Linked DNA regions of Nothobranchius furzeri. The main gene of each other region encodes a partner of the protein of the gene in region 6 in a complex. Links are inferred from orthologs where the notes say so. Each region holds a gene or a part of one and is shown on either strand. Other genes may lie near its edges.

The links.
Region 1: snrpd2 (region 6) and snrnp200 share a complex: the UniProt entries of both Homo sapiens proteins name them as parts of the U4/U6-U5 tri-snRNP complex. The link is inferred for Nothobranchius furzeri from reciprocal best matches to the Homo sapiens genes SNRPD2 and SNRNP200.
Region 2: snrpd2 (region 6) and bud13 share a complex: the UniProt entries of both Homo sapiens proteins name them as parts of the minor spliceosome. The link is inferred for Nothobranchius furzeri from reciprocal best matches to the Homo sapiens genes SNRPD2 and BUD13.
Region 3: snrpd2 (region 6) and gemin4 share a complex: the UniProt entries of both Homo sapiens proteins name them as parts of the SMN-Sm complex. The link is inferred for Nothobranchius furzeri from reciprocal best matches to the Homo sapiens genes SNRPD2 and GEMIN4.
Region 4: snrpd2 (region 6) and sart1 share a complex: the UniProt entries of both Homo sapiens proteins name them as parts of the U4/U6-U5 tri-snRNP complex. The link is inferred for Nothobranchius furzeri from reciprocal best matches to the Homo sapiens genes SNRPD2 and SART1.
Region 5: snrpd2 (region 6) and gemin2 share a complex: the UniProt entries of both Homo sapiens proteins name them as parts of the SMN-Sm complex. The link is inferred for Nothobranchius furzeri from reciprocal best matches to the Homo sapiens genes SNRPD2 and GEMIN2.
Region 7: snrpd2 (region 6) and lsm6 share a complex: the UniProt entries of both Homo sapiens proteins name them as parts of the U4/U6-U5 tri-snRNP complex. The link is inferred for Nothobranchius furzeri from reciprocal best matches to the Homo sapiens genes SNRPD2 and LSM6.

The regions. Positions count from the first base shown.
Region 1 is NC_091757.1:37,097,870-37,101,369, reverse strand, and holds part of snrnp200 (U5 small nuclear ribonucleoprotein 200 kDa helicase), read right to left. Parts: coding exon 3,421-3,500; intron 3,335-3,420; coding exon 3,179-3,334; intron 3,093-3,178; coding exon 2,922-3,092; intron 2,843-2,921; coding exon 2,649-2,842; intron 2,545-2,648; coding exon 2,421-2,544; intron 2,323-2,420; coding exon 2,173-2,322; intron 2,099-2,172; coding exon 1,856-2,098; intron 1,780-1,855; coding exon 1,591-1,779; intron 1,510-1,590; coding exon 1,312-1,509; intron 1-1,311. UniProt on the Homo sapiens protein: Catalyzes the ATP-dependent unwinding of U4/U6 RNA duplices, an essential step in the assembly of a catalytically active spliceosome. Plays a role in pre-mRNA splicing as a core component of precatalytic, catalytic and postcatalytic spliceosomal complexes.
Region 2 is NC_091750.1:44,763,527-44,767,749, reverse strand, and holds the end of bud13 (BUD13 homolog), read left to right. Parts: intron 1-1,468; coding exon 1,469-1,770; intron 1,771-1,840; coding exon 1,841-1,949; intron 1,950-2,106; coding exon 2,107-2,245; intron 2,246-2,835; coding exon 2,836-3,017; intron 3,018-3,173; coding exon 3,174-3,255; intron 3,256-3,364; coding exon 3,365-3,458; 3' UTR 3,459-3,723; downstream 3,724-4,223. UniProt on the Homo sapiens protein: Involved in pre-mRNA splicing as component of the activated spliceosome. As a component of the minor spliceosome, involved in the splicing of U12-type introns in pre-mRNAs.
Region 3 is NC_091753.1:62,516,060-62,520,158, reverse strand, and holds the start of gemin4 (gem-associated protein 4), read right to left. Parts: upstream 2,801-4,099; 5' UTR 2,705-2,800; coding exon 2,695-2,704; intron 2,362-2,694; coding exon 397-2,361; intron 308-396; coding exon 151-307; intron 78-150; coding exon 1-77. Other genes in the region: dhrs13b.2 (tapasin-related protein), read left to right, coding at 3,251-3,296, 3,401-3,577, 3,652-3,927, 4,022-4,099. UniProt on the Homo sapiens protein: The SMN complex catalyzes the assembly of small nuclear ribonucleoproteins (snRNPs), the building blocks of the spliceosome, and thereby plays an important role in the splicing of cellular pre-mRNAs.
Region 4 is NC_091744.1:19,554,741-19,558,702, reverse strand, and holds the start of sart1 (U4/U6.U5 tri-snRNP-associated protein 1), read right to left. Parts: upstream 2,801-3,962; 5' UTR 2,472-2,800; coding exon 159-2,471; 3' UTR 1-158. UniProt on the Homo sapiens protein: Plays a role in mRNA splicing as a component of the U4/U6-U5 tri-snRNP, one of the building blocks of the spliceosome. May also bind to DNA.
Region 5 is NC_091758.1:40,480,325-40,484,373, reverse strand, and holds the start of gemin2 (gem-associated protein 2), read left to right. Parts: upstream 1-1,249; 5' UTR 1,250-1,370; coding exon 1,371-1,492; intron 1,493-1,569; coding exon 1,570-1,651; intron 1,652-1,749; coding exon 1,750-1,839; intron 1,840-1,945; coding exon 1,946-2,032; intron 2,033-2,190; coding exon 2,191-2,307; intron 2,308-2,549; coding exon 2,550-2,594; intron 2,595-2,665; coding exon 2,666-2,734; intron 2,735-4,049. UniProt on the Homo sapiens protein: The SMN complex catalyzes the assembly of small nuclear ribonucleoproteins (snRNPs), the building blocks of the spliceosome, and thereby plays an important role in the splicing of cellular pre-mRNAs.
Region 6 is NC_091753.1:27,245,641-27,249,873, forward strand, and holds the start of snrpd2 (small nuclear ribonucleoprotein Sm D2), read left to right. Parts: upstream 1-1,433; 5' UTR 1,434-1,569; coding exon 1,570-1,571; intron 1,572-2,541; coding exon 2,542-2,721; intron 2,722-4,233. UniProt on the Homo sapiens protein: Plays a role in pre-mRNA splicing as a core component of the spliceosomal U1, U2, U4 and U5 small nuclear ribonucleoproteins (snRNPs), the building blocks of the spliceosome.
Region 7 is NC_091744.1:10,586,904-10,591,127, forward strand, and holds the start of lsm6 (U6 snRNA-associated Sm-like protein LSm6), read right to left. Parts: upstream 2,801-4,224; 5' UTR 2,712-2,800; exon of another isoform or gene 2,671-2,711; intron 2,651-2,670; exon of another isoform or gene 2,546-2,650; intron 2,301-2,545; 5' UTR 2,289-2,300; coding exon 2,195-2,288; intron 1,382-2,194; coding exon 1,268-1,381; intron 904-1,267; exon of another isoform or gene 789-903; intron 1-788. UniProt on the Homo sapiens protein: Plays a role in pre-mRNA splicing as component of the U4/U6-U5 tri-snRNP complex that is involved in spliceosome assembly, and as component of the precatalytic spliceosome (spliceosome B complex).

The DNA.
Region 1 (3,500 bases), on a different chromosome or scaffold from region 6:
GGTGGAGAAAAAAAGATGGCGAGTTCAGTGGTGTCACTCACAAACGCTGACACGGAGAAGTGACGTAATAAAAGAGAAATCCATCAGAAAATCTTTAGCTCTTTTTAAAAGACAAATCTGCATAATACCAACGGTGTGTCTTATAAACGCGCCACGCCGGCATGGCGATGTGCAAATTTTGCAGCATTCCTTCTGCCTCGCTTGGTAGTAATATTGCGGTAATTGTCTGACTTCTGAACAGCGATTGCACCTTGGTGCAACAGAGGGAGGTGTCATGATGACATGGTGAGTTACTGCCGAGCTCTGGCCGACAAATATTTTGAAAATGAAAGTGAACACGGGACGTAAGTTTTTCTTTTGTAAACAGAATCAGCTGAGATGTTAAACTGAAGCGATGCAGCACTCCAGGAGCTTCTCTCCATTAGAGCCGGAGGTCAGATCACCGGAGGCTGCACAGGACTGGGGGACACACACCTTTAGGAGCGGCTTGTTAAAAAAACTTAATGATCGCAGCTTCCATTGCAATAAAAAGCTAGTTATGTCCAAGATAAACGGAAGCCCGTGGCAGCACAGACACCGCCCCATACCTCCTGCCGACATCGCCTAATCTTTTATAAAAAGGACGCGATTGCGCCACATTACCACCATGACCTGACCACTTATAAATGACCCAAGGCTCCCTGATGCTGAAACGGAGTTGTGGAAAATAAATGGCATTGTTTAGTGAAGACGGCTTTGGCAACATTTGTATATTTAGTGGCTGACAGCACATTGGAGAGTTATGGAAAATAGGCTCTGTGGTGACAACAGATCACACACTGGTGCAGGTGAACTACTGATACTTCGCTGCAAGATTTCCTCCCACTAAAGCAAGTGCTTGTGGGATCAGGAAACTCCTGGTTCAGAGTCTTGCGGACTTCTGATCTCAGTTTATGAAACTTTAACTGAAGTGGCGTTTGTAATCGACGTCTTTAGTGATGCAGCTGAGTGTGGATTCAGCCTCCAGAACACGAAACAGCCACAAGGATTCGTCTGTCAGAGACACAGGCCCAGGACCTCTGCAGCAATCCCACCTCAGACATGCGATGACTATCCATAAGCAGGTACTGGCATTCCACAAAGACCAGGAGAAAGTAGTGAGATAGCAGGTGAACTGTTTTTATTTTTAAGTGTAATCATTTTATTTATTTGTTTATTTGTAGCTACTGGGGCCAAGGTCAGAGGTTTTTGTCACTGCAGAGACAAAGTTACAAGCATCCATCTGTATGAAGGTCTGTTCAGCCGGTTAGATCTGGACAGTAATTTGCTCACCTGGAAGCTTCCTGTCCTTTTGTCATACTTGATGAGGCTGTTCTTGTCCAGGATGTTGGCGGCGGTGTGCACCAGGTCCGTCCTACGCCTCTCCAGCAGCGGGTCGGAACTCCGGTCGTCATGGGAAACACCATACAAGGTGGGGTTGCGCAGCATGCGCACGTACAGATAGGTGTAACCCAGCCAGTTCACAGCATCCTGCAGTTAAATAGAAAAAAACTTTAATTATCATGAAAGTAAAATATTAATTTCATTCTTGTGTAGGTTTCAGTCACTAACCTTGACATTCTGAACATTTCCCAGCACTATCTCTGCGTTGAGCATGTCAGCCAGTTTGCCCACCATCTGACTCTCTATGGGCAGCTGCTGGTTCAGGAGGGACAGATAGTACTGCAGCTCTCCATGGGAGGTGATCAGGATTCCCTCTCCTTTGGTGTCATACTGAGGACGGCCAGCTCGACCCAGCATCTGAAATCAAACATTTCTTTCCGTCACCGCTGTCAGAAGAGCTACATATGACTGCAGACAGTAGAAACCAACCGACCTGTAAAATGTCCAGGGCTCCCAGTTCAGTCCACCGGCCTTTCTCTGGGCTGTAAACCTGGGTTCCTTTGATGATAACAGTATGTGCAGGCAGGTTGACACCCCAGGCCAGGGTGGCTGTCGATACCAGAACCTGAATGTGTTTGTCTGCAAATAAATCCTCCACCAGCGTACGGTCGACTCGGGTCATGCCAGCGTGGTGGATCGCAAACCCGTACGGAAGCAGATCCTTGAGCTCCAGGTTCTAGAAGAAAAAGATTCCATCACTCAAGTCCAACGCCTCACACCAGAAAGGTCTTTAAGTTCTCATTTCCTTACTTTGCATTGCTCTGCCTCTGTTCTCAACACTTCAGTGGATGCTGAACCCTCTCTGAGGAAAAGACCCAGAGTGTCCTTCTCCAAACACATGTCCCTTATGGCCCTGGCCGTCTTTCCCGTCTCTTTCCTGGAGTGGACAAATACCAGAACCTATGGAGGGGGGAAATGAAGATGTTAAAGTTGACAGAGTAAATAAACAAGAAATAAGATGATAATAAACTGGGGGTCAGAGGTCAGACAGAACTCACCTGGTTCTTTCCAGCATGTTCCATTATCTTTTCGTAGACGATCTCATTCATGATCTGAAATCGCTTGATGGCCTTCTTTTCTGTTATTCCGACATATGTCTGCTCCAGCGGCACAGGGCGGAAACTACAGAGAAAAAGAAACAACAATAACCATAGATGGAAATACAAATAACAAAAAGAGGGACCGAGTTTATCTCTAAAATTTACATTACTCTTCAAATAATGTACCTGTTGTCAAAGTAGAAGAGTCCCTTTGCAGGGTTGACACGCAGGCAGGTAGCCACGTCTTCGTAGTTGGGCAGCGTGGCACTCAGACCAATCAGACGTACGTCCTCCTGAGTCAGCTCCACATTACGAATGGTCCTCGCCACCAGAGATTCCAGCACCGGCCCGCGATCATCGTGCAGCAGGTGGATTTCATCCTGAGAAACACCCGCTTAGCTTAACCAGAAACCTTTAGCCTAAATTCATTTTGAACATTTGGCTCAGATCAAAACATACAATGATAATGAGGCGCACAAGCTGGGTGTAGGTACGCTCTCCTCCTTTCCGAGTGATGATGTCCCATTTCTCAGGGGTGCAAACAATGATCTGAGTGGCGTTGATCTCCTCTTTGCAGAGCTGGTGGTCTCCGGTCAGCTCGGACACAATGATGCCATAACTTGCTAATCTCTGAGATTAAAAAAGGAAACACGTTAAATGTAAACCTGTCCCACAAACAACGGGAAAAAGGTCTAAAATAGTGACTCAAGACTCACCTTACTAAAACTTCCCACCATTTCCTGTACAAGTGAGCGCATTGGCGCGATGTAGATGATTTTAAAGTCATCCACGTTGATCGTTCCATCCATGTTGATGTGCTTTCCAATTTCTCTTAGCATCGCCATGAGGGCAACGTTTGTCTTACCAGCTCCCTGTGAGCAGAACAAACCCCCAGTTAAAGAAAACACATAAAAACAACAAATCACACAATATTTGAACTTTACCAAGGCCTTCGTACCGTGGGCGCACACACTAGCAGGTTTTCATCCGTCTCCATGGTGGTCTTAAACAGTTTGCTCTGAATGCGGTTTAGAGTTT
Region 2 (4,223 bases), on a different chromosome or scaffold from region 6:
GGGCTCAGCCTTAGAGATAGGGTGAGGAGCTCGGACATTCGGGAGGGACTCGGAGTAGAACCGCTGCTCCTCCGGATCGAAAGGAGCCAGTTGAGGTGGTTTGGGCATCTGGTCAGGATGCCTCCTGGACGCCTCCCTGGGGAGGTGTTTCGGGCATGTCCTGCCGGCAGAAGGCCCCCGGGTCGACCCAGGACACGTTGGAGAAGTTACATCTCCAATCTGGTCCGGGAACGCCTTGGGGTCCTGCCGGAGGAGCTGGTGGACAAGGCCGGGGAGAGGACGGCCTGGAGCTCCCTAGTTGGGATGCTGCCCCCGCGACCCGGACCCGGATAAGCGGAGGAAGACGAGACGAGACGAGGCATTATATTTTACTGCACATATTTATGTGTTATTGTGACTAAGATGAGTGTTATTAATATTTTAAGATATTTAACTATAAATATCAAATGGGAAAAAGGAACTAAACACCAATCTAATGCATATTATTGAGCCTTTCATAATAAGAGTATGTTATTTCAGCCTGATCATTTTGTTTTATTTCATATTTTTTAGCAGCAAACCAGTTTAGTTTCACTTGAAACGTTGTCAAATGGAATATTCAATTAGTCAACAGAAGCTTAGATTAGAACACTTAACGACAAAATATTTAGCCTTTAAAACAGTGAGGCAGTTGAATGCACAGAGTACGCATGTGCTGGCGCACGTTCAGGATGGTACCACCTCTGCCTCAGTTTGAGCCAGGAAAAACCCTGATGTGCATCCTGCATTCAAAAACAGAGGCAGCCTTAATTACAAGTTTTTTTTTTTTCAGTCTACTGGGTATTGGTTTCAATGATGCTCTATCAATAAGCATCAACAAAGTGCAGATCACCAGCTACAACTGTTAAAGAGCCTCAAACCACCAGAGGTTCTTCAAGCGCTTTGGGCTTCCTGACAGGGTTGCGGAAGGTGCTTTATAAATAAAGCTTTGATTGATTGATTGATTGATTGATTGAAGACATGGAATACCCACCCCCTTATTGTGTACAGCTCTAGTTTGGCTCTTCAGTCCAGTTGATTGTTGATGGTGTCACCCAGCTACTTCTAGACCTCAACCACCTCCTCTACCACCATCCTCATTGGTTATGTAGCTGTCTTCTTCTCCCAGAACATCAGTACCATCTCATGGACAAGGACAGCATCCTCCTCAGCCTGGCCCCCATCAGCTGTGGAAGAATTTAGGCTTTCTGTTGTTTAACCTAAATATTTTAAAACCGACGGGTGATAACAGTTTAGGTTTCTGAAGAATCTCCCCAAAAATATCCAACCTTCTGAGAATGGACATCTGGTAAATGGAACGCAGTTCATTCTAAACAAATTAATATCGTGGTAGTCCATTGAACTGTGTTCAATGAGTGTGTTTAACATCATCATTTTCCTGACTAATACCCTATTTTTGTTAAACATATCTGTGTTTTCTATTTTCCAGATTCATCTCCCACTAGAAGAAAGCCCAGCTCTTCGATACCAAGTAAACCATGCCCAGATCATCGTTCTTCACCGCAAGCTGATAGGAGTCAGAAGAGGCACGATTCAGACTCTGATCAGTCACCTCCACGAAAAAAGCCCCAGAAGAAAAAGCCTTCCGATTCAGACCAGTCTCCTCCGAGAAGACGCTCAAAATTCAGCCAGTCTCCTGACTCTGACCAGTCTCCACCCAGGAGGAGGCCACGGACTGGAAAGGACTCGGATGGAGATTTGTCACCACCTCGTAGAGCTGGAGCTTCACAAGTGAGGCAGGAGTGCTTTTCAAAAGTTCTCACAAAATGGCTGCAGGTTTTAAAAAAAGATGTTTTAACAGGGTCCGAGGATGCTTTCTGGTGGAAAAGCAGGTCTTGTTTCTATTGAGGTTTTGAGGGAAGAAAAGGAGGAAAACCGGCGCAGAGACAGAAGCAACCAGCCGCTAGAAGGTAGCATTTACACCCCCAAACTGGAGGACTTGTAAAGTGTTTTTTCATCAGCGTCACACATTTTTCAAGACAAACTATATTTTTTATGTCATAATGAAACAAGTCAATACTCAAATTATGTGTTTGTATTTCTTTCTTGTGGCTCTGATTGGACTAGATCAGTCCCGCGGTGCCCAGACTGTGTTTCGAGACAAGAGAGGTAAAAGGAGAGATTTGGATTTGGAAAGAGAAGATCAGAAGAAAAAAGCTGAAGAGAAAGCAGTAAAGGATGAGAAATATGCTCAGTGGGGAAAAGGGTGAGTGCAGCACTGAAAAGACACTAATGGGTGAATCGTTTCACTATTTAAAGCTGCAACAGCAAATCGACGAACAAGCTAGCTTTTAAACAGTCACAGAACTCTCACCCCTCCTGTAGGCTATCATCCACCGGATACCAGAACTCGCACTGCCGAACCAAACCAGATAGCGCTTAACACCAGTCGCCATTTTCTAAACGTCTTTTGTTGTCCATGACTTCAAATGGTGTTTTTCCTTTTGGGACTCTGGTAGTTTGTTCTAAAGTTGAAGCAGCTGTTTCTCCTTCTCTGATGTTACTGAGTGGAGAACCTCTCACACCGGTGGTGTCCTGTTGCTAAACACGTGAGTGTGTGATGAATAGAGGACCCAGGGAAGTGCGGCGGTTCGGTGCGATCAACAACCAGATGGTCCAGTTGTTGGTTTGCGACCGAGCCGTGTTATTGGCTGAGGACAAATCCATTAGCTTTAATCTCCACAAAATACACCTGTACTAAGTTAGAACGTTGTTAAGAGGCATGAAAAATGTTTTGAGACGGCTTGCTTTGCAGATTTGACATTTTAGCGTTAAAGTGTGTGTACGTGTGTGTAGGTTGGCTCAGAGCCAGATGGAGCAGCAGAAACTTGAGGATGCGGTGCTCGAAGCCCAAAAGCCTCTGGCGCGTCACTATGACGATGAGGACCTGGACCGCATGTTGAGAGAGCAAGAAAGAGAAGGGGATCCTATGTTGGCGATGCTGAGACGTAAGAAGGACCGCAAAGAAAAGACAAAAGGTTTTTACTCTTCCTTTACTTTATAAGTCTTCATTTAAGCTTTAACTGAAAATGTACTTCAGGGTTAGCAACCTCTCAGCAAAGCCTTGCTAACACGACTTTGACTCTTTTTCTATAAATTGTAACAATACTTGTGTTTCTTATCTGAATTTCCAGTGAAACCTAGGTATAATGGCCCCCCACCACCGCCGAACCGCTTCAACATTCTGCCAGGCTATCGCTGGGATGGAGTCGACAGGTATCTGCAAAGAAAAACCTCAACAGGGGACACACAAGCATCAAATCCAGGGGAGTTTAAGCTACAATAGCAGATTTTGATGGCATTTTTTTACATGGATGTTTTGCAGGTCGAATGGTTTTGAGTTAAAACGCTACACGCGGATGGCAGACAGGAAAGCCGTCCAGGAGGCAGCATATAAATGGAGTGTGGAGGACATGTAAAGGAAACGGAGACGAACGCATCAGCAGTACACCGTTTATAGTCAACAGACTTGTTCTTGTTGTTAAAACACATCGAGACACATGCACTCAACAGAAGGTATATTTTGTAATGGACCAATGGCGTTTTGGTTCTTTTTCCAGATCAGTTTGATGCTGTATTGCAGTCATGGTGTGACAACGTCTTTATCTCTTTGTTATAACTGAAGCAACGTGGCACGAGAACTGATGTAGGTTGTAATCTTTTAATAAATGATGTTTTTGTAAAGCTTCTGTGTCACAAGTATTTTATAAACAAGCCCTGATGCTTTTCATTAGGAGGATCTACTACCCTCATGTTTTATTCACTAGAACAAAGGATTTGTTCTGAACAATTCAAAGTCCTAAAATTGTTTTTTCACAAATCAAACTTTTCATTTTAATGTACTGGACCTTCTAAAAATCACAGAGTCCTAAATACCTCAACCCCAGACTGCAGGTCTCGTTTTACGGTCATGTAGAGAGGAACTGCAGGTTCACCATTTAACTTCGGCTAATGTATTTATTTTTAAATTTGAGGTTTTGTGTTGGGGAAAAAAATAATGTTTTGTGACTTAATATTTTGATAATTAAACGATTAGAAATGAATCTCCACCCCCACCCCCACCCCCTGCAAAAAGCCTTTTAGTGTTGGGCTCATTATTAAAACTAAAGAGAAATAAACACACCTGGAAATAAGATTGTTTTATTCTAATAATTAGTAGTATTTCATGTTTTCATGTTGAAGCC
Region 3 (4,099 bases), about 35 Mb from region 6:
TCAGCACCGACTCCAGCAGCTCCTTGGTGTCCATGGAGCTCAGGTGGTCGCTGTCCTCCGACGACCGCTCCCAGCACCTAACAGAGATCAGATGAGTAGAAGCCCAACAACAACCGCTGCACACACACACACACACGGGATCATACACACATGAGAGTCTGGTTGTACTGCTGGGCCAGAATATAGAGGAGGGGGAAGGGAGAGCAGTCCAACACCCAGTGAGGGGAGGGGGCTACTTCCTGGACACCCACAGCCAAAGCAGCGTGGAGGAGCTGCAGACTCAGTTCTGCATCGCAGGACTCTTCAGCTGCAGAAACACAGATGGGACAGCAGCAGAATGTGACGAGCGTTTACAGATCACACACAGATGAGATTAAAGCCAGCATGGACCCCGACCTGCAGCTGAGAGGCGAGGCAGGACCAGTGTGTTGACCACCTCCTGTGGAGACAAGAACCTCTGTGTCTCTTGCTCTCCCTGGAGCGTCGGGCCCGGCGCCATGAGCAGAGACAGGAACTTGAGGAGCTGCTCCTTTTCACAGGCGGACAGTGGCTTGCCTCTGACCGCCGTCTGTAAACACCTACAGAACAGACTACCACGCCCTCCAGCTTCCTGCTGCTCCACATCGTTTCCGTTTGCCTCATCCTCCCCTCCCCTCCGTCCGCGGAGTCCAGGCAGCTGCTGCAGGATCTTTGCCATGAGGCTGAAGGCTCCCCTGTTGAAAACGGCGGCGTGGCAGCAGGACCTTAAAGCCGCCTCTGGGCTCTGAAAGGCCACTCGAGCTACCAGAGAGGCTGCTGTGGTCAGGCGGCCCTGGGACACTGCTGCTGAGGCCCCGCCCCCTCCCTGGATAAGGCAGTTAAAGGCCATGTTCAGCTCTTGCTCAAAGCCGTCTGCCACAGCCGAGGGGACAGAGCAGCCAAAGAAGCCCCTGCTGGAGCGGCTCGGTACTGCAGCGAGGACCTTGTTCTGGTTTTCTAACGAAAGAGCAGAGAAGACATCTGCAGCCGTTTTAATGGCTCTCCTGCACCAGGTGGTGTTCACGTTCCCACGCTGCAGGCGACTCACGAGGGTGGAGGAGAGGCTGATGAGGGTGTTGGGCTGCGTGAAGGCCGTGTGGTTCTTCTCCAGGCAGTCCACCCACAGCTCTTCATGAGTCCAGGACAACTGGCTGGCAAACAGCGCAGCAAACTCCTCACAGTCCTCCAGGCGGTGACTGATGACGGTGGCAGCGACCTGAGCCTGCACCTGAGGGGGGGTCTCTACGGCAGGAAGAGACAGTGAACTCAGCAGACCTCTGAGTGTGCTCTTCTCAGTCACATGCTCAGATGTTCCCGTTTCTTCTAGAGCTGCCAGGACTCTCTGGACGCTCTGCTGCAGCAGGAACGCGGAGCAGCCAGGAGCGCTCAGGAGATCCTGTTCCAGCCAGAATTCTGTGAGTTCTGCTACGATCTTCAAAGCTTGGCTCAGCGTCATCCTGCTGGGCTGAAAAGGAGCTGGTGAGTGAGCAGCACGCAGGTCTCTCAGAGCCTCCTGAAGGAGTTTGGGGCTCCACGCCTGCGTCTGTCCTCTGGTGTCAACAAGCCTACAGAGGATGAGCAACTTCTCTTCAACTGGAAGCACAACCTCTGGGTCTGTTAGGAAGGATGTGTAAAGAGCGTCGAGGCAGACTAACAGGGACTGCAGGCACAAATCTGTAGTAGATACTTGATCTTTCATGTTCTTAAGAGCATGGAGGAGAACGTGCAGAACGTCTGTGTTTGCTGACGATGCAGGAAGGTCCAGCTTTAAGCGTTTTGCAGCCTGAGGCGAGACACTGGGACAATCGGAGGACAGGCGTGCAAACTGGCTGACAAACATCATCTCTAAGTCTTTGTCTTCCTGCGTCTGACATTTGTCTCTGCCTTTCCACAGCTCCCACCACACCTCCAACAGAAAGCAGACGTCTTCAGGACTGGGATCCGTCCTCAGATGCTCTGCCAGCGTTTGCAGCTCGGTGCAGATCTGCTGCTGAGGCAGACGCAGGAGCAAGCGGGCAAAGACCGGCGCAGCTGAGAGTGACTTCACCAGCTCCAGCAGAACAGCCCGGCTTACGTCAGGGAGGCCGTTCTGGAGGCAGAAGAAAGGGTTGTCCCTCCACCCCTTCTCCACATCTTCCTCAGCCTCACTGCTCATCAGCTTCAACCACACCACACAAACAACCTTCTTCTGCCAGGCCAGAGCGCTCAGCCCACAGGTGTCTCTGAGGGCCTGCAGGATCGGGAGCTTCACACGACTCCAGTCCGCCTTCTGCATCAGGGACAGGGATGAGGGGAGGCACAGTTTGTCTGCCTGGAGGAAAGCTCCCTGGAGCACGGCGGAATCTGAAAAACAGGCAAGCAACAGGCTGAGACCCGAGCTGGGCCGAGATCAGCGTTATCCAGGTGTGTGTGTGTGTGTGTGTGTGTGTGTGTGTGTGTGTGTGTGTGTGCGTGTGTGTGTGTGTGTGTGTGTGTGTGTGTGTGTGTGTGTGTGTGTGTGTGAAGGGGGGGCAGGCTGCAGGTGAAGCAGGTCCAGAACGAACGACTGGCTAGGAGAGGGCTCTTCAAACCTGCAGCTTGCTGCTTCAGCCTGAGCGTTTAGCGCCATGTTCGTCTCTACCGACTGGAGACGAAGCTCGCGCAAGTTCACGAGACATGTCTAACATTAATAATTACCTTTGTCCATGGCTGCGGAGGCAGGAACATACACCCGCCCGCCTCGTGAACCAGTTCGTTACCAGGAAAGGCGCTTCCGGTTTCCAGCAGGAAGCCGGGCTGCTGTCAGGTGGCGAGGCGTCCCCACAGCGCCACCCCTGGATAGATACGGTACTGCAGCCGCATTAACCCAGCAAACCGCCAAACCTGCTTCACCTTGTTGTTATTGTTGTTGTTGTTGTTGTTTTCCTCGCCTTTTCTGTTGGATTGTTGACTGGTTTGTTTTTACTGTTGCGAGGTTTTGCGTTGTTGACTAGACACCGCGTTCACCAGTGCTGCCGCCAGACCGGAACACCGGTTCAGCCCTACGTGTGATGGTTTAAACGTTACTCGCTTTTAGTGACATTTAAAAGTGTTTTGCAGTATTTCTCCTTGTGAAACTGTCTCTGCTCGTCACGTGATGCAGCTGCATGCAAAGCAGGTTTTTTTTCGTTGTAAATGAAAGCGAAAGTGTTCTGAGAATAAATGTGCAGCTGAATGAAGCAGGAACAAGGATCAGTAGATCTGATGAATAACCATGGTTCCACCCTGCAGGATTCTTATTTACGGTTTTATCTGGACAGGTAAGTCTTCAGAAGGCTTGTATCCCTGCGAGTGTGGGGACAGTTTGTGTTTTTGGAGGAAGCCCACTCGGATCAGCTGCTTTGAGTTGTTGGTCTGTCTCCAGGGGTCTACTGTAGCCAGCAGATACTATGGCTGCCCTGTCACTTCACAGATGAACAGGTGATTATGAACAATGAAGGACATAGAGAGACCCAGCGGATCCCCAGAAATGCTGTGCTGCAGTTTGGTCAGACAGGAGAAGCTCCTGTAGATCTACGCACCATCACTTTTCAGGTCACAGGTAAGCCACCTGACACAGGTCACCATTACACACCTGACAACGGTTGCACCTTACTCTTCTGTGTTCTGCTGCAGGGTCCAAGGTGGACATGCGGCACTATGTGGAGGGAGTGGAGGCAGAACAGCTGGAGTGTGAGCTGCGTAGATACAGCACACAGGGCATCTATGTCCACTGGCCCAGTCAGAAGGCCAGGGAGTACAACCACTGGTTCTCCGTCTCTCTCAAACACAACCAGGGCCTTTTCACTGTGCTCGGCTTCCTCAGACACCCGTCTGACCAGCCTCCACCAGGAAAGCAGGACTACCTCAGCTGGGTTCCCATCACTGATGGACAGATGCTCACTACATCAGGTCAGTTAGTTTCACTCCATAATGCCAACAGCTCCAGTTCTGGTTCTTTGATGGTGTTTCTCTGTGTTCTGTCTTTGTCCATCTGGTCTCACAGTTGCCATGGTAATGAAAACAGAAACACCACTGGTGAAAACCAGCCTGAGATCTGAACAAAAGCTCCACTGCCAGTTTA
Region 4 (3,962 bases), on a different chromosome or scaffold from region 6:
TTTAAATTATTGTTCTTTTAGGAAATTCACAAGACAAATGAAATAGTTTACACCTGTACTGATTTTCTTATACTATTGTTATATCAACACTGAAGCAAGACCATAAACTAGCAATAATCTCAAAAGAGCTACAACAATAATCATTTTCCCCTACATATTTATTTAGTGATGGTGTTTGCATTCATGCTCTTCCCACTGCCACTGAGGACGATGTACGGCGTTTTCTGAGATTTCTGTTTCTCTTGAAGCAAAGCCACCGTCCCCAGAGGTGTATCGCTGCTGCTCATCTTCTTCAGCAGCGCTTCCTCCTCCAGCTTTTTCATCCTCCTTTCAGTTTTCATCTTTCCAGAACCTTTGCCGTGGAAACGATGCGAAAGCTGCCTGAATGCCTCTTTTGGGGTGAGTCTGCGCCCAGACTCATCCACATACTCAATTTTGACGTCGGGTTTATATCCATCCTTTTCCTTGAAATCCTGCGTGAAGCCTCTGTATTCTTCCCGGCGACTGTACTTATCATCAAAGCCCATCTTGTCCTCGATGCAGTAGTTGTCATTAGGCAGGGACCCCTTTGTTGCTTTGACACGAGCCACCTTTTGCATTTGCGTGTCCAGCAGCCCTTTATTTTTGCACAGCAGTAAAGCAGCAGCAAGGCCAGAGTTCACGATGGGTTCCTCATCCAGGATAGTGGCAGAGGCTGTGGAAAATTCAGCATGATTTTGCTCCTCATCCAGGTTAACTGTGCTCCACCCAATATTTTCATCCATTTCGGAGTCTGAATCTCCAGCATCATCTTTCTCTTCTTCCTGTTCAAAGTCCATGATATCCTCCTGGTCTTCCCTGTTTCCAGACAGTCCATACGTTGGAATATCACCCAGAGTTCTGCAGAACTCAGAGGTGGCATTGAAGACAATGTTATTCCTCTTGTCAGGATCATTTTCGTCACCGCCTTTAACAAACCGTCTGATCTGCTCTGCCACCTTCTCCCCGGAGTCTTTGAGAAGCTGCTTCTGCCTCAGCTTCCTCTGTTTCTCCAGTTGTTTCTGCAGCTCCTGCTCTGCCTCATCCTCCTCAATTACAGCTGGCTCAGGAGGCGTGAAGTTTTCTTCATCACTCATTTCCATTTCTGCCGTCCTGATGTCATCAGACATTTGGGGGATTTCATGTGGCCAACGCTCGCCCTTGCCTGTATTCTCCTCTTCGTTGTCCTGTTTGCGGCCCCGACCTCGTGCTCGGGAGCCAAAGTCAGAGCTGCGAGTGTCATCAAGGAGCTCATCTGCAATTGTCTGCTTCTCCTTCTTCCTGATTTTCTTCACACGGCGTTTTGTCTTTTTAAAGCCAACCATTTCCTGAGGCGTGTAATACTCCGAAGCGATAGCAAGAGCAGGCATTTCCAAAGACTGGGCCTGGTTTTGCAGCGTTTCTTTCATAGCCTGCAGCTCCCGTTCTCGCTCCCCATCAGCAAATCCCCATGTGCTCAAACGAAAGCTCTTTTTCTTTTCACCTTCAATTTCTTCATCGTATTTTGAAAGTACAGTGCGGGGCTTAAAGGTGACCATGTCATCCACACTCTCCTCTTCTTCGTAGGGCTTGTAGTCAGGCTTTTTCTTTTTCAACTCCACATTCTTTTCTGCTTTTTCCTTGTCCACCAGTCCCACGTTCACAAGCACATCCTCCTCTTCTTCCAGGACACCTTTGTCTTGCAGGGTCAGAATGACAGTGTGGCCCTCCTTGAAGGAATCAACCTTGTGCTGCACTTTGAGGCCTTTGAGATCCCGTGAAGAATAAGAATCCAATTTACTTTGAGCAAACTCCTCTTCAACCAGATTGCTGACACCAAACTCCTCATCCATCTCTTCCAGAAGTTTGGCTCTTTTCTCTGCCATTTCTTTCTCTTGTGCCAGCTTTCTGCTTCTTTCAATCCAAGCGGCTGTGTCATCGAGCCAATCATCATCTGCAAGGTTTTTGACTTTGCCCAGTTTCTGATTGAGGAGACGTTTTTCTTTCATAGCTGCAAGCTTCTCCCTCATCTCTTTCTGCTGCTGGATGAGAACAGGGTTGATGGTCTCAGCCACCAGTGGCTCCTCTTTGGTTCCAAGTTCTTTCTTGTTCTCATTGAGTTCCAGAGGCTTTAAACCCAGCTTGGCTCGGAGTTTGTTCGTTTCCTCGACGCTGAGGGAAGCATCTCCACTTGCACTCTGAGGCTGTATTTCTGCACTGCCTTCCTCATAGCCAGGATCCAATTTCTCCCTCTTTATACGAGTCTCGCCACTGCTTTTTTCCCCTTTGCTGCGACTATCCCGTCTGCTCCTTTCCCTGGACCTGGAGCGTTTTCGTTTTTCTCGAGTTCCATCCCGATCTGAGGCATCTCTGTCTCTCTCTCGTTCTTTGTGCCGATGCTTCTTATGTTCACGACGGCGCTCTTCTGCGTCCTTATCGCGACTCTTTTCCTTGTGTTTCTTTGAAGAACCCATGATTTCGTCCGCTGTTTACAACTCCAGAGTCGTAGTTCCGTCACAGTCAAGCTGCGTACGCAGTCTCTTCAGCTGTATTGATGTGGTAAATGTCGCGAACTTTTCTCCCAACTAGGTCGAGTTAGCTTCAAAAGCTAAAGGGTTAGCCACGTCAAAACTCACTCATTTCGGGGAAAACTGCATCATATTTTCGATATCCAGCATCGGTGGAAAATACGTGGAGTTTCGTTGGTTTGTTTATTTGTAGCACCTCGCACCAGCATAAATACTAACAACCACGTTTTAAGTTTGCTACTTCGACGAAACGAACATACAACGACAACGAATTCGTTTCCGGAAGTCAAGTGGTAGAAAAAACTTTGCTCGCCCTGGTTGTATATCGCCCCCTGCTGGCTGGGGCTTTAACAACCGGACATTAACTGACAAACAAACGCTTTTAAATGTTTTAGGAAAATTGTTTGATACTTTACAAAAAGTACACGAAGTGCAACACAGCGATTTACTATCTCCTCTATTTTGGCGCAGTTCCTTTACTTTAGCTTGTTAGCTTAGCAAAGGTTGCAGCCTGCAACCTGCTGTATTTAGCAAGCCGTGATAGCATTTAATGAAGCAAAACATTTCCATTCACTTAAAATTTTAGATAAAGTTATAATAATTCCCATTATCAAAATGTATTTCTTACTTATCGTAACTGAAATAATATCTAGAAGTGCATTCTGATCAGTAAAAACACATTTTAATACTGTAATTGATATTTCAATTGGAAACCCCCAGGTTTAGAGTATTTAAAAATGCTTTTGATTCCAAACGGTCATTTGAACATTTAATGGCTGGGATGTTTATCACTTTCAGATATACATCAAAATTAATTCTTCTCAGACAAAGAGAAAAAGTCAGATGTCTAGCAATGGTTTCTGTCTACCAACAACAGCATTAAGGATTTTTTCAAATTACATTTTTCTACTTCAGCTTTTGCATTTATCTGTATTGAGCTCCAGATATCAAAAAGGGCATTGTGCTAATGTATTTGGCAGATGCTTTTGTCCAAAACGATCTATAAACAAGGATGTAACAGTACTTGCATCTGATTCTAACGATAAACTGATTAGAGGAAAGAACACTAGGCTCCGACAGAGGAGTATGCGAAAATAGTGTAGAAATGAATCAGAGTGCAACATAGATGGAAGTGCACAAAGAGATGCAGTGGAATAGAGGAAGGGATGGGTGGATCCTAGGGTAGGAGTAGGTGTAACATTATGGATATCATATCAGTTCACATGTTAATTTCACTCATTTTTATACATACTACATTTTAAATTTTACTTGAATCTGTTATGCTTTGGCTGCATGTTGGCACAGTGGTAGTGCTGTTGCCTTGCTGTATTTCAATAAATAAAGTTTGAATCAAATGCTATTTCATCAAGTTCTTAATAGATATTTTAATTATCTTTCAAAATATTTGTAATTGCATTTGTTGCGAGTTTCTCAATA
Region 5 (4,049 bases), on a different chromosome or scaffold from region 6:
TAGCAGCGTTACAGGTAGAGACGGGTGAGATGCCAATAGCAATCAGACGAGAACGAATAGCTTTAAATTATTGGGCAAATCTTCAGGGTCAGGAAGAAGATCATCCAACACGAGACATACCAAAACCTTGCTGGGAGAAAGAAAAGAAGGAAACAACAAGTTTTGGATGGGTGATGATCAAAAAACCAGTAGAACTTAAATGAGATCGGTTTACAATCAGTCAAAGAGTTCCATTACCTGCTGTTCCGCCATGGATTCTTCCTGAGGCGTCTGTTGATTTATCATTATTAGAGAGAAAGAATATGGATAAGTCTTTCATACTAAACTCACATACAGCACAGGATTATATCGATCACTATTATAACTATGTAAAAATTTATACAGATTCTCGCAATCCTGTTAGCAGTTCGATGGGTGGAAGAAAACAGACCATTATTCTCAGTTATTTGTTCAGACTCCAGCTCATCATTAACCAGTTTAACGTGCAGCCATTCAGGAAGCAGACCAGACATACTCCTAGAGATTCAGCAAACACTTTATAGAATAAACACGATGGGACTTAAAGTACATTTTTTATGGATTCCAGCTCGTTGTGGAATCAGTGGAAATGAAGGAGTCGATAAGATGGCTAAGGAAGCTACAATAAATACTTCGGTTCAGTTAGATGTTCGATTTTGTCAGAAAGAGATGAAGAGCATAAAAAGGCGAGAAATGAAGAAAAAATGGCAAAAACAATGGGAGGAGGAAAGGAGGGGAAGATGGTTGTATAAAATTCAAAGAAGAGTAGGAGAAATAAGAAACACTGGAAGGAGTAGGAGAGAGGCGGTGATCATTTCTAGACTGAGGTTTGGACATACTGGGTTAAACAATACGTTATTCATGATGGGGAAACATAATACAGGGAAATGCGATTATTGTGGAGAAGAAGAAACTATAGTTCATGTTATATTACAATGTCGGAAGTATCAGGCAGGAAGAAGGACATTGATTCAAAATCTTAGACAGATCAAAGTGAAACTAGACCGACAGAATTCAAAAAGCGACTGTTTTCTGATTTTATTTCAGTTTTTAAAAGAGATAAGGATGTTTGGGAGAATTTGATGTATATATGTATTTGTATATATATGTGTATGTATGTGTGTGTATATATATGTATTTTTTTGTTCTTTCTTTCCCGTGTTTGATTTTGTTTTATGAGCGCTGTTCCAGACCACACTCCACACCAGTTGGTGGCGGTAATGCACCATTCGTTGTTCGCCAACCGCCAATAAAACACCAGAAGAAGAAGAAGATGGCGACTGTGCTGTAGTGAAACTTGCGTGTTTTTCATTACCTGATTCGGTTCCGCTGTTCTTTTACTTTATTAGAACATGAAGTCGGACGTGGAGGAGTTAATGCCGAGGCTCCTGCCGCTGGAGACCGGAGGCGGGAGCGGAAACCTGGACTTGAGTGGAACCCCCAGAAACCCCCAGGAGTACCTCCGACAGGTCCAGTATGTTCGAGCCGAACCGTCTCGAGAATCAGAACCATGTTCGACCACGGAGCTTTATAAGTTTGGTGTTTCATTAGGTTGGAGGCCTCTTTATGCCCGGAGGTGGTCGTTGCTCAGATCGATCCCACAAAACTGAAGAAGCAAACTGTTAATGTGTCGGTAAGTGACACACACACACACACACACACACACACACACACACACACACACACACACACACACACACACACCACATGTTTAACATGTTTTGGTTCCAGGTAGCAGGATGTCATGCTGCTCCTCAGGGCTTCTCCCCCAGCCTCAGGTGGCAACAGCAGCAAGTCAGTAACTTCTCTGACGTCAGACAGGTGAGACTTCACAGTAACACACGTTACGAACATGTCCACACAGTAACACACGTTACGAACATGTCCACACAGTAACACACGTTACGAACATGTCCACACTGGACAGTGTCCTTTAGTCACTTTTGTTTCTCAGAGCATCACCAAGAACAGGCAACACTGGAGGAGCCAAATTCTGGATGACAACGTGCAGATGGTGAGATTTTTATTCACTACTCAAACCGAAATCAGCATTCTTTCAAGGGGAGACAGAAATCCCATGTTAAGGTGGATTTGAAGCACCTGTAAGAATCTTGTCATGCAGCATCACACTGGAGGTTTGGTTTATGCAAGCTTGACGCTGGTGTCTTACAGCCGAGGCTGACCGATGAGGAGGGCTGGAAGAGGTTTTGTTTAGGGGAGAACGTTTATCAGGGAACTTCATCCGGCCCGACGGATGCACACCAAGAACCAGCATTGGACTACGGCAAGGTTATACAACTGTTTACACCTTATTGCCTTTGTGAGCGCTTACTCCTCAGAATGAGTTTACCTGATTTAAATCGATCAAAGCTGAGATGTTTCCACATTCTACTTCTCCCACAAAAGCAAACAATCTAAACAGATAAAGTGTATTTATTTAATCCTTTGATGATCCGCCACTCATGAAAATTCTGTGGCACCTTCATGAGACCAAGGAAGTGAAGTCTCACTGATGGTTTGTTTGGGTCTAGATTGGCTTCCCTCCCTTCCTGAGCATCGTAAGCAGACTAAACCAGGTAAACGGGGGTCTACGATGACATCCATGTTGTTTTTAGCCAGTTTAACAGTCTTAATATTTTTGTCTCAGTCCACAGTTCTCATGTTGTTAGATGTTCTGATCAGCTGGTTTGAAGAGCGAGAGTTTGTTCCACAGCTGGTGAGTTTGCTTCTCGTCTCCAGCTGGTTGACAACAAATCTAATGCTAGTGGAAATATAGTTTTTTAAATTTTCGCACGAAAATAAATTGTTAGAACTCCAGGGCCCTCATTCATCAAACAAACTTATGCACAGATCTGCACGTAGGAACAGTTTTACACACTGCATACATGTAGCGACATGAATGGCCATATTTGTGACCCAAAGGTCACACTTCCCCAGCTAGGTCACGCTGTCCTGGCTGAACTTCTGTCCACAGATTATCCATCACAGGAGACGCACAGTCTTCTAGAACCATCTTTAATCTGACTGCCTTTAATCTGTCTGCTGTTCCATCCTAAGATGAAGGACACTTCAAGATTTAAAATAATCATTTTTAATAAACTCTTTTCACTGTTTATTACAAGGTTCATAAATAATCATCACGGTTCATTATAAATGTATTTAATTACTGAAATGAATTATTATTCTTTGGTTAATAATTATTATTTATGATAATCAGTAATGTTTACCAGTGTAAAGAAGGTCATGTACACTTATACACACCATGCAGGACACTGAATTCAGGGTAAAGGTAACCACCTCACATGTCTTTGCTCCATAACCAAAGCTTTCTATCTCTGAGAGGGCGTGTTCTGAGTTTTAATAAAACCCAAAACTCCTCAGTTCAAGCTGACAGTTCTGAACCAACCAAAACCTCTCCGTGGCACGAGAGTCCCAGAGGACAAGGGTCGGCCGCCCGAAGCCTCCACTAAGCTGTTCTGTCACGCTGATAGAATCGCTCCGAATAAACGCCACCTGCACCAGCTGACACAAAACTCCTTCAGAGTTAAGACGCAAACTCAACACCTGTGTGCCAGCGGCAACTCTTGGACCAGAGAGTCGGTACCACTCGCGCCTTCCCTACCGGACCGAGTACCCAGAGGCTGACAACATCCTTCCTTGACCTCCGGATCCACACAGAGGGTCGCCTGATGGGTGAGGTAGAACACAGATTGCGTCTGATGCTGTCATCTCTAAGAAACAACTTAGTTAGCTGCAAAACAAACTCTTTCACCCAGAACGCGTTTCTCTCTGAAAGAAACCTTCTGAGATTCCAGTCACACATCCAACACACGCATTTCATTTTAGCTTTCATCCAGACACAGGTTTGCTTTTAATACCAAGTTTTAATATCAAAGCTGTTATAAATTGTCATCTTTAAATTGTTCGTTATAAATTCTTAACTTTTTAAACCTGACTCTTCTTTGAAATGAAACACAGAATGGTGTAAATTTGGTTATTGAACGAGCAAAGATTCCTTTAAATATTCCGAT
Region 6 (4,233 bases):
CCAGTTGATGTAAATTGCTGATAATGACAGATTGTGTTTGCACCAGAGGTTTTTTTTTTAGCTGGAAGACTTAACATTCAACATCCTAGAGACTTTGTTTTTCTATAAACAAAATATTCTGTCATTTTAAATAAATAAACATTTAGATTTGTGCATTTAAATGTTAATAGTTTGATTGATAGACTTGTATCTTGTACTTACTCATCTGATTTAATGCTTGTTGCTCTCTTAATTGGGCCACTGTAGTGTGTTCAGATTAGAGAATGCAGCTCCATCCCATGTAAGGTAACGCTGAGCTCATTTTAGTCTGCATCTCAAGATGCAAGAGTCTAGGGTGAGTGTGCTTGGTAAAGGTATAGAACCGTGCAGTCTGGAAACCAATCCCACTCATTCACCTCTCCCAGCAACACACAGCCTGCCATTATCTACAGCAAGTGATTTCCACAGGTAGATCTGTAACCTTTGGAACAAGGTGGGTGGGTTGAGCACCCATAGGCGTCTGTCTGTCTCTTGCCAGAAAGCCAATCTCTTAGTGTCTCGTTGCTGCCACATATACCCGTTTCTCTCCTTTACACACACACACACACACACACACACACACACACACACACACACACACACACACACACACACACACACACACACACCTTTGCTGTGTTAAACAGCGAAACAAAGGCTTACCTGTTTGGGCTGCAGACTACGGAGAGGTCTGCTTCCTCAGTCTTATTTATTTCCTCTTTACTTTGTGAGGAGAGAGTTTTTGATATAGGGCTGCATGGTACAAATGGTACTGCTTCCCCACAACAAGAAGGTTGCAAGGTTGCCTTTCTTCAAAGTGCATTCTGGCCATGCATACACTGGTTTTCACTGGATACAACAAGAACATTTAGGTTCCATTGTGTCTCTAAATATAAATACATATTTGTTTGTCCCTGTTTGTCTCCATGTGGCCCTGTGCTAGACTGGTGACCCATCCAAGGACTCACCTCTTGACTGATGAGTGCTAGAGTTGGGCATCAGCTTCATGACGTATGAAGAATAAGCAATGACGAAAAAAGAGGGGCTTACCTTTTACACGCTTGTTCTATGCACTGGTTGTGTTGGAACTGTATTGAAGAACTACTATAGATGATGATGATGATGATAGATAGATAGATAGATAGATAGATAGATAGATAGATAGATAGATAGATAGATAGATAGATAGATAGATAGATAGATAGATAGATAGATAGATAGATAGATAGATAGATAGATAGATAGATAGATAGATAGATAGATAGATAGATAGATAGATAGATAGATAGATAGATAGATAGAATTTAGGAAAAAAGTAACTAAGAAAATAATAGTTTCAAGATTTTTACATTTATGGATGATTTTTTTTCCATTACACTTACCGAGCAGAATCTCCGTAACCCGGAAGTTATAGCGAACTGTTTAGAGCGCGTTGAGAATGACCCGGAAGTGTTTTCGTCCACGAGAAGAAGGCAGAAGCGTTGCTCATAAGAATTAGACGGTGGAAACGAGAGAAAAACAGCTTTAAACAGTTTTTATAAACCACCAATCATGTAAGTGTCGTTGATGATGAGATAGCCATTTCGGAAAGTGTCATTTTTTGAGATAGAGTATCAGCTACGAGTCGCAGCGTCTTTTCTCGAATGCTAACATGTTTAGCCTTTTCACTGATGAATGCTAGTTAGCTCACGTTGTGTTGCTTTCTAAACGTGCTATCGCTTTTCATATTTTACTCACCATTAACCTAATATGTACAGGGTAATTACTGCAATAAAATATATGTAGTAGTTACGTTGGTGATCGTTAATGATGCTACGATTGTTTAAATTTTATGTTTGCCAATTGCGAAATATTAGCAGCACGATTAAGGAGACCGGTGTTGAGTCAAATTGTGTTCCCCGTAGATAACAGTTTGACCAACTTTCTAAAATGTGCGTTTGGAGAATGAAATTGTCAGGATATTAGCCTAGTAACGAAGTCGGCTTTATGTTTTTGAAGCATATGAGCTTATTTTAATTCAGAACATCATTGTTAGCGACGTTCTGTCTCAAGGATGTTCCACATGTTTTTTTTAATCAATCTTCTAAGAAATCCATTGCTTGATACAAAAGAGTAAAGGAAGGTTATGAAGAAACTCAGAGAAACAGTTAATTGTTAATGCAAAACTTGTCATTCTAATCTCTTCAATTTTTTTTAACTTCTGATTGCTAACCAGTAAATTAAACGTGTATGTCTGATATTGTTGAATATTTGGCTATTGCTAAAAGTAGCTTGGTGTAAATTTTTTAAAATAAGTTATTAGTTTTGTTAAATGCCTATGGGAACTTCCCCACTCTTCTACTGAGAGATTTAAATTTTAATCTCGGTTAAAGTCAGGTTTCTTGAATTGCATTTAGTTAGGGTGCCTTGTTTTCATTTATTATCTTGTAATCATGTAAGTTTTAAAAGCAAACCGCTAAAAGGACTTGTGACCGTTATCTGTGCAGAAGCAAATGATCTAGTATCGTGTCTGCTTTTGTGTAGGAGTCTGTTGACGAAGCCCAAATCAGAGATGACACCAGAAGAACTCCAGAAGCGGGAGGAGGAGGAGTTCAACACCGGCCCCCTGTCGGTGCTCACCCAGTCAGTGAAAAACAACACTCAAGTCCTCATCAACTGCCGCAACAATAAGAAGCTGCTTGGAAGAGTTAAAGCTTTTGACAGGTATTGAAAGAATTTTCATCTAAAAAAAAACATTCAGAGTTCTGCATCTATGCGAGAAAATTTTACATTTAGCTTTTTATGTTTATTTATTTGCAGACGCTTTTATCCATAGCGACGTACAATTTTTTACTTGTAGGGCATGTTGTGATCTGTAGGGGAAACCGGAGTACCTGGAGGAAACCCATGCATGCATGGGGAGAACACTCAACTCCACGCAGAAAGGCCACAGCCGAGTTTCGAACCTGCAACCTTCTTGCTGCGAGGCAACAGTGCTAACAACTGCGCCACCATGCATTTATGCATTTGGATGGCAGAGTCAAAAAACTTAAAATCACATTTAGGTATGGCTGCCACAAAAGACAATTTTAATAGTAGACTAATCACCAGTTTTGTTGACGATTAGTCAACTAATCATGTCATCATGCATAAAAGTATAGCTTATTGCACCAGGGTGCCCTAATATACCCGATGATAGCTTATCAAACAGCTTTTAGTTAACTTTGTAACCCAGGGGTGCCGGAATCCTGGTCCTGCATGTTTTAGTTTGAACTCCGCTTCAACACACCTGATTTCAATCAGCAGCTAATTAACTGGCTTCTGCAGAGCCTGATGAGCTGCTGCACAGGTGTTTCAACCACTGAATCATGTCTGTTGGAGCAGAAAAAACACAAAACCTGCTGGATACCTGCCCTCCAGGACCAGGATTGGGCACCCCTGTAGTAACCTGTTAATACAAATGCTAAACAGTCAAATGGAGGTAGGCACCTAAAACTAGGGCTGTAGCGAAGCCTCGACGAAGTCGACGGCTCGATTCTAAAAATTTGTCGACGTCAGATCCGGAAGTTGACGCACCGCGCCCACTTGTTGCATCCCCAGGAGTTTGTAAATAGAGGAGGAATCTGCCTGTTTTTCCTCTAGTTTGCCCTCTTCTCCGCCTTCACTAACATCTCCGCCAAATACCGAAGACCCGGAACAATGTCCGTCCACTACTAGATTATTTTCCTGTTTTTCCCCTTCGTCTCCCGGCAACGGACAACAACTTCCGGGGTCAGATGCGCTGCTTCATGTCTATCGCAGATGTAGAAAATCACCGGGAGCGCTTCTCCCTTCATAAAGGAGCTTCTTTCAGACATGAGGAGAGCTGTTTTGGTGGTAGCAGTCTCTCCTCCCTGCTGGTCTGTTTGCTGCCGGGTGTTTTTGGTTTATTTAAACTTGGTAACTTGAACTTTTGGTAAAGCTACTGTTAGCATCTTCGCTAACAGCTTCTTGCATTGGGATAAGCTGTTACGTTTTGGTTTAGAGTTCATCTTTTTTGTGGTGTAGATCTCCCTTTTATTACATTTAGAGTGTTGTGGGTTTTCGGTTTAGTGTAAAATATTACCTGAGTTTGGTTTAACCCGTAAGACCACTCGCCTCACGCACATAAGTGACCAAAACAAAGCAGCATGGAGACACTCCATCTTCTACCACCTCTCAGGCAGCAGCCTGCACTCCCAAGTTCTACACGTCACC
Region 7 (4,224 bases), on a different chromosome or scaffold from region 6:
AGACACTTTTTCTGCACGTGCTGCAAACAGGATAGCCGTCTTCTATAAACTGTCCCTCGGCATTCTTCAAATATTCAAAAAATGCCCGTACTTCCCACTTTGTTTTCTTTGAGGTATAATAAATGTCCTGCGCGCTGCCGTTTCCTCCTTTGGCCATTATTTCAGCTTTAGCTTCAAGAAAGTTTTGGTTGTAAACAACAAAGTGCGCATGTGCCGCTGGCAACTTCAACAGATGATACGGTGGCTGGTAAGGGTCACCGCGCCTACACCGCAGCCACGGTAAACCACCGAGATAATATAGTTTTTTTAAAAACGGACGGTTATTATTATTGTCAACTTTTTTTTATTTTACCGGGGTTTACTGCTACACCGGTTACCGTGACAACCCTACCTGATCGGTCTGCTTTGATCCATTTTGAAAACTCCGATCAAAACCGATAGGGGCGCTATCGGCCAGTTGGGATCAAATGCCGATCCATCGGTGCATCCCTAGTAGTCAGTCGCAGCTGTATCTGCTCAGTCTAGAGAGGCACCACAAAAATCACACAGGTATCAAAATATTCCCTAACCCTACTTATTAACCCTATTAATGTAGAAGTTTACACTTCCAAAATATTCTATTTAATATTTAAATTCAAACAGCATATTATATTTAAAAATCACCCAAAATTAGTATCACTTTGAGGCAACACAAATCAGTTTCTGCCATCAGAAGCTAAATCAGTACATTTCTAATGTAACATAATGAATTAATTAACAAACGATGCTGTAAAATAGTAGCATTTTACCAGTTTTTTCAAAGCAGCAACAAAGGGGCTCGATGTTTTCATCGGAAGTGAGCTTCCTGTATAACTCCGACATGGTTAGTTTCCCAACTTTAAAAGGGAATATCTTGTGGTTTTCCTATAAAGATAGGTTTGAGGTGCAAAAATGCTTAATGAGAAAATGAAAATAAACATCTTGTGGTGCATGACTTTGAAAGTTTCATTTAAAAATTGTCAACAAATTTAAATCTCTAATCACTTTGGATTGAAAAAAAAAACCTAAACAACTGAAAGATCTATTAGAGCACACAGTGTAATAATGTTGTCTCTGTGAGCTAATAAGAATGAGGCTAGGAAGTTGACTGCACCAAAGACTCAGATCATGGCAAATGTACAGCCTTCATAACCTGGAATGTTTAATCATTAAATATGACTTGGAGCTATAGTAACAGAGGAAAACGGTGTTGTATAACGCCCTGCAGCGTGAAAACATCAAATCTTACCATTATTTCCTCTCAAAAAGGCATCTCCATACTTGTTTTTGAGTTGTCCATTGACATACTCCTCCGTCTGCTCTATTGCGATGTTCATGTAACCATCCAGACAGGCCAAAACACCTGCTCAGAGACAAACACAAACTTCAGATTAAAAATAAACTTACCTGGGCAATAAAACAACAACAGACCTGAACGTGCCAGCTAGGGAAGAGGGGCATACTGTTTTTTATGCATTTTGATGCAAACATAAACCATTACAAATTCATTCAAAAATTATCAAAACAGATTTTAATAATGATCATTATTTAGGTGAGTGTAAAAGGCAGACATCTGAAGTGCAGAAGTGTGGCACATTATGGTGTGCAACTGGGATGGAGTTTGAGTCTTGACTGAAGAAATAAATACATCAAATACTGAAAAACTGAACATTTTAAACTGTAACAAAGATGTCTGAGTAGGAGTGTTGTGTCAAAAAGTGTTCCTCCTCCATGTATCTGTGTAACCTGTGTGAATCTCTCTTTAGCTTGGTAAATGAATTAATATCAACACAAACACAAATAGTTTGTTGAAGATTAAAGCAAAATTTGGTCCTCACGAAACTTTTCAAGTTTATTCCAATTACTCAGCATTTAACTGGAGTTTAACTGCAGTAATTTAACTGTTTTTCAGTTAGTGTTTGTTTCATAGTTTCTAATCCTATATGGGATTACATCATTCAACTTCCTGTCTGCCTGTATAAAGAACTTAACTGTAATGAATTAAAAGATCATTAAAAATTAAAAGTAGTTGTCAGGGGGTCATTGTCTAGAACTAAACATGAGGCAGAAGGCGTAAAAAGATGCATCAATGACTGCTTAACAAACCCTCTGATTCATAACCTAATCAAACTCTGAGAACCCTAAACATTCCCACACCTGATGCCAGCTGCATTACCTCTGTAATCAACACCAGAGTTCAGTTTGACCACGACAGGTCTCCCAATTATCTGCTTCAGAAAGTCACTCGGGGTCTGCTTTCTCAAACTCATTTTCGCTTTTATCTAAAAGAATAAAACAGATGAGTAAATCTCATTTTATCACAATAAAGAACCGCATTAGCATTACCCTAATACACATTTAAGCTATAATTGATTATCTAGTAACAAAGGCATTATTCAAACCCGAGAATATTAAAACGAATAGCTGTAGCCAGATAGTACACGCCTAAATGCAAAACTATGTACGGTTAAAACGTTCAAATTATCAAATGAGCTTCTATGTAGCTAGCGAGCTAAGTGCTAACTACCAGCTATTCCGTGGGTCAGTTCGTTAGCCTCTAATAGCGTAGGAGATTGTTTAACAATAAAGTACAATGTACAGGTATTGTTACATCATAACAGATCCTAATAAGATAGGAAATAGATGTTTTACTAGTTTTACAGATGCGAACACCGAGCTAGCAAGTTACTCACTGGATGAACGATCTCACAACGATTTTATGTTCGGCGCATTGACCAATCACATTGGAGGACTACGGAAACTATGTAGGGACAAATGTCCTGAAAGCGCAAAGTTTTAATTCGATAGACAAAACAAGAATATTTAAAAGTACATTTTAAAAATACGATATACCCATTTCCTTTAACAAGTTATTTTCTATAAATGTATTTCTAATATGTTGTAATTAATATTATATCCACTGGCTTTCATATTATAATATACTAAAGTTTTTTTGTTTTGTTGTGCATTGTTATACTTTGAATAAACTGAAGCATTAGTAATATTTCTATTATGTAACAAATTCATACAGAAAATGAGAAACTACTGTAAATATGTAAAAACATAATATTTCATGTGAATGTCTCATTGTATTATTTTACTATTCTTTTTACAAATTCAAAATTTATCTCAATGTAATGTGGGATATGCACAAATAAGCCTATTCCAATTTCAGGTACATTTTCTTTCTTCTTGATCTGTAAGTGTTCAAACGTTTAAAAGAAAGAAAGAAAGAAAGAAAGAAAGAAAGAAAGAAAGAAAGAAAGAAAGAAAGAAAGAAAGAAAGAAAACAATCTTTTCTGTAGCTCCTCTCAAGACAAAAATCTCAAGGCACTTCACAAAAATATAAAATATAAAAAAGGTTTCAAAAAATGATTTAAAATATGTTCAAAATAAGCAAAAATAGACAATTGTGATTAAAAAGGCAAAGAGAGAGAGAGAAAGAAAGAGAGAGAGAGAGAGAGAGAGAGAGGGAGACAGAGAGAGAGAGAGGGAGAGGGAGAGGGGGAGACAGAGAGAGAGAGAGAGAGAGAGAGAGGGAGGGAGAGGGGGAGACAGAGAGAGAGAGAGAGAGAGAGAGAGAGAGAGAGAGAGAGAGAGAGAGAGAGAGAGAGAGAGAGAGAGAGAGAGAGAGAGAGAGTGAACAGGAAAGAGGGAAATCAGTGAATCTTGGGGAAATGGGAAAATGTGCACAGTATGTACAGTCTATGATGTGCACTTAAAAAAGACATCTTTTCATTCTTATAAACACATCACTTGTAAGTCGCTTTGGACAAAAGCGTCTGCTAAATACATAAACATAAACATAAACATGTGCCTGGTGAAATATTTTCTTATTATAACAAACATTTGTTAACATCACAAAAACTATTGAACCAATGGAAAACTTTTTTGTAGTTGTGAAGAAGTCTATGAATAAAGTGTATGAAAACAAATAATTCTTTTAATTATTCTAACGAGTAACCAACTTCGGGTTTGTAAAAAATATTATAGACACACACACACACACATATATATATATATATATATATATATATAAACCTTGGATGCTGGGAGCACGACCCAAACACTGCACAGCTTGGGAGGTACATGAGAAATGGTGTATGGGGGCAAACAAGGATGAAATAGTGGGGAGAAAAACAGAAGAGCATAGAGGGCGTGAGGATGTGCCAGTACGTGTTAGTGGAGACAGAAAGGTTGAGAGAG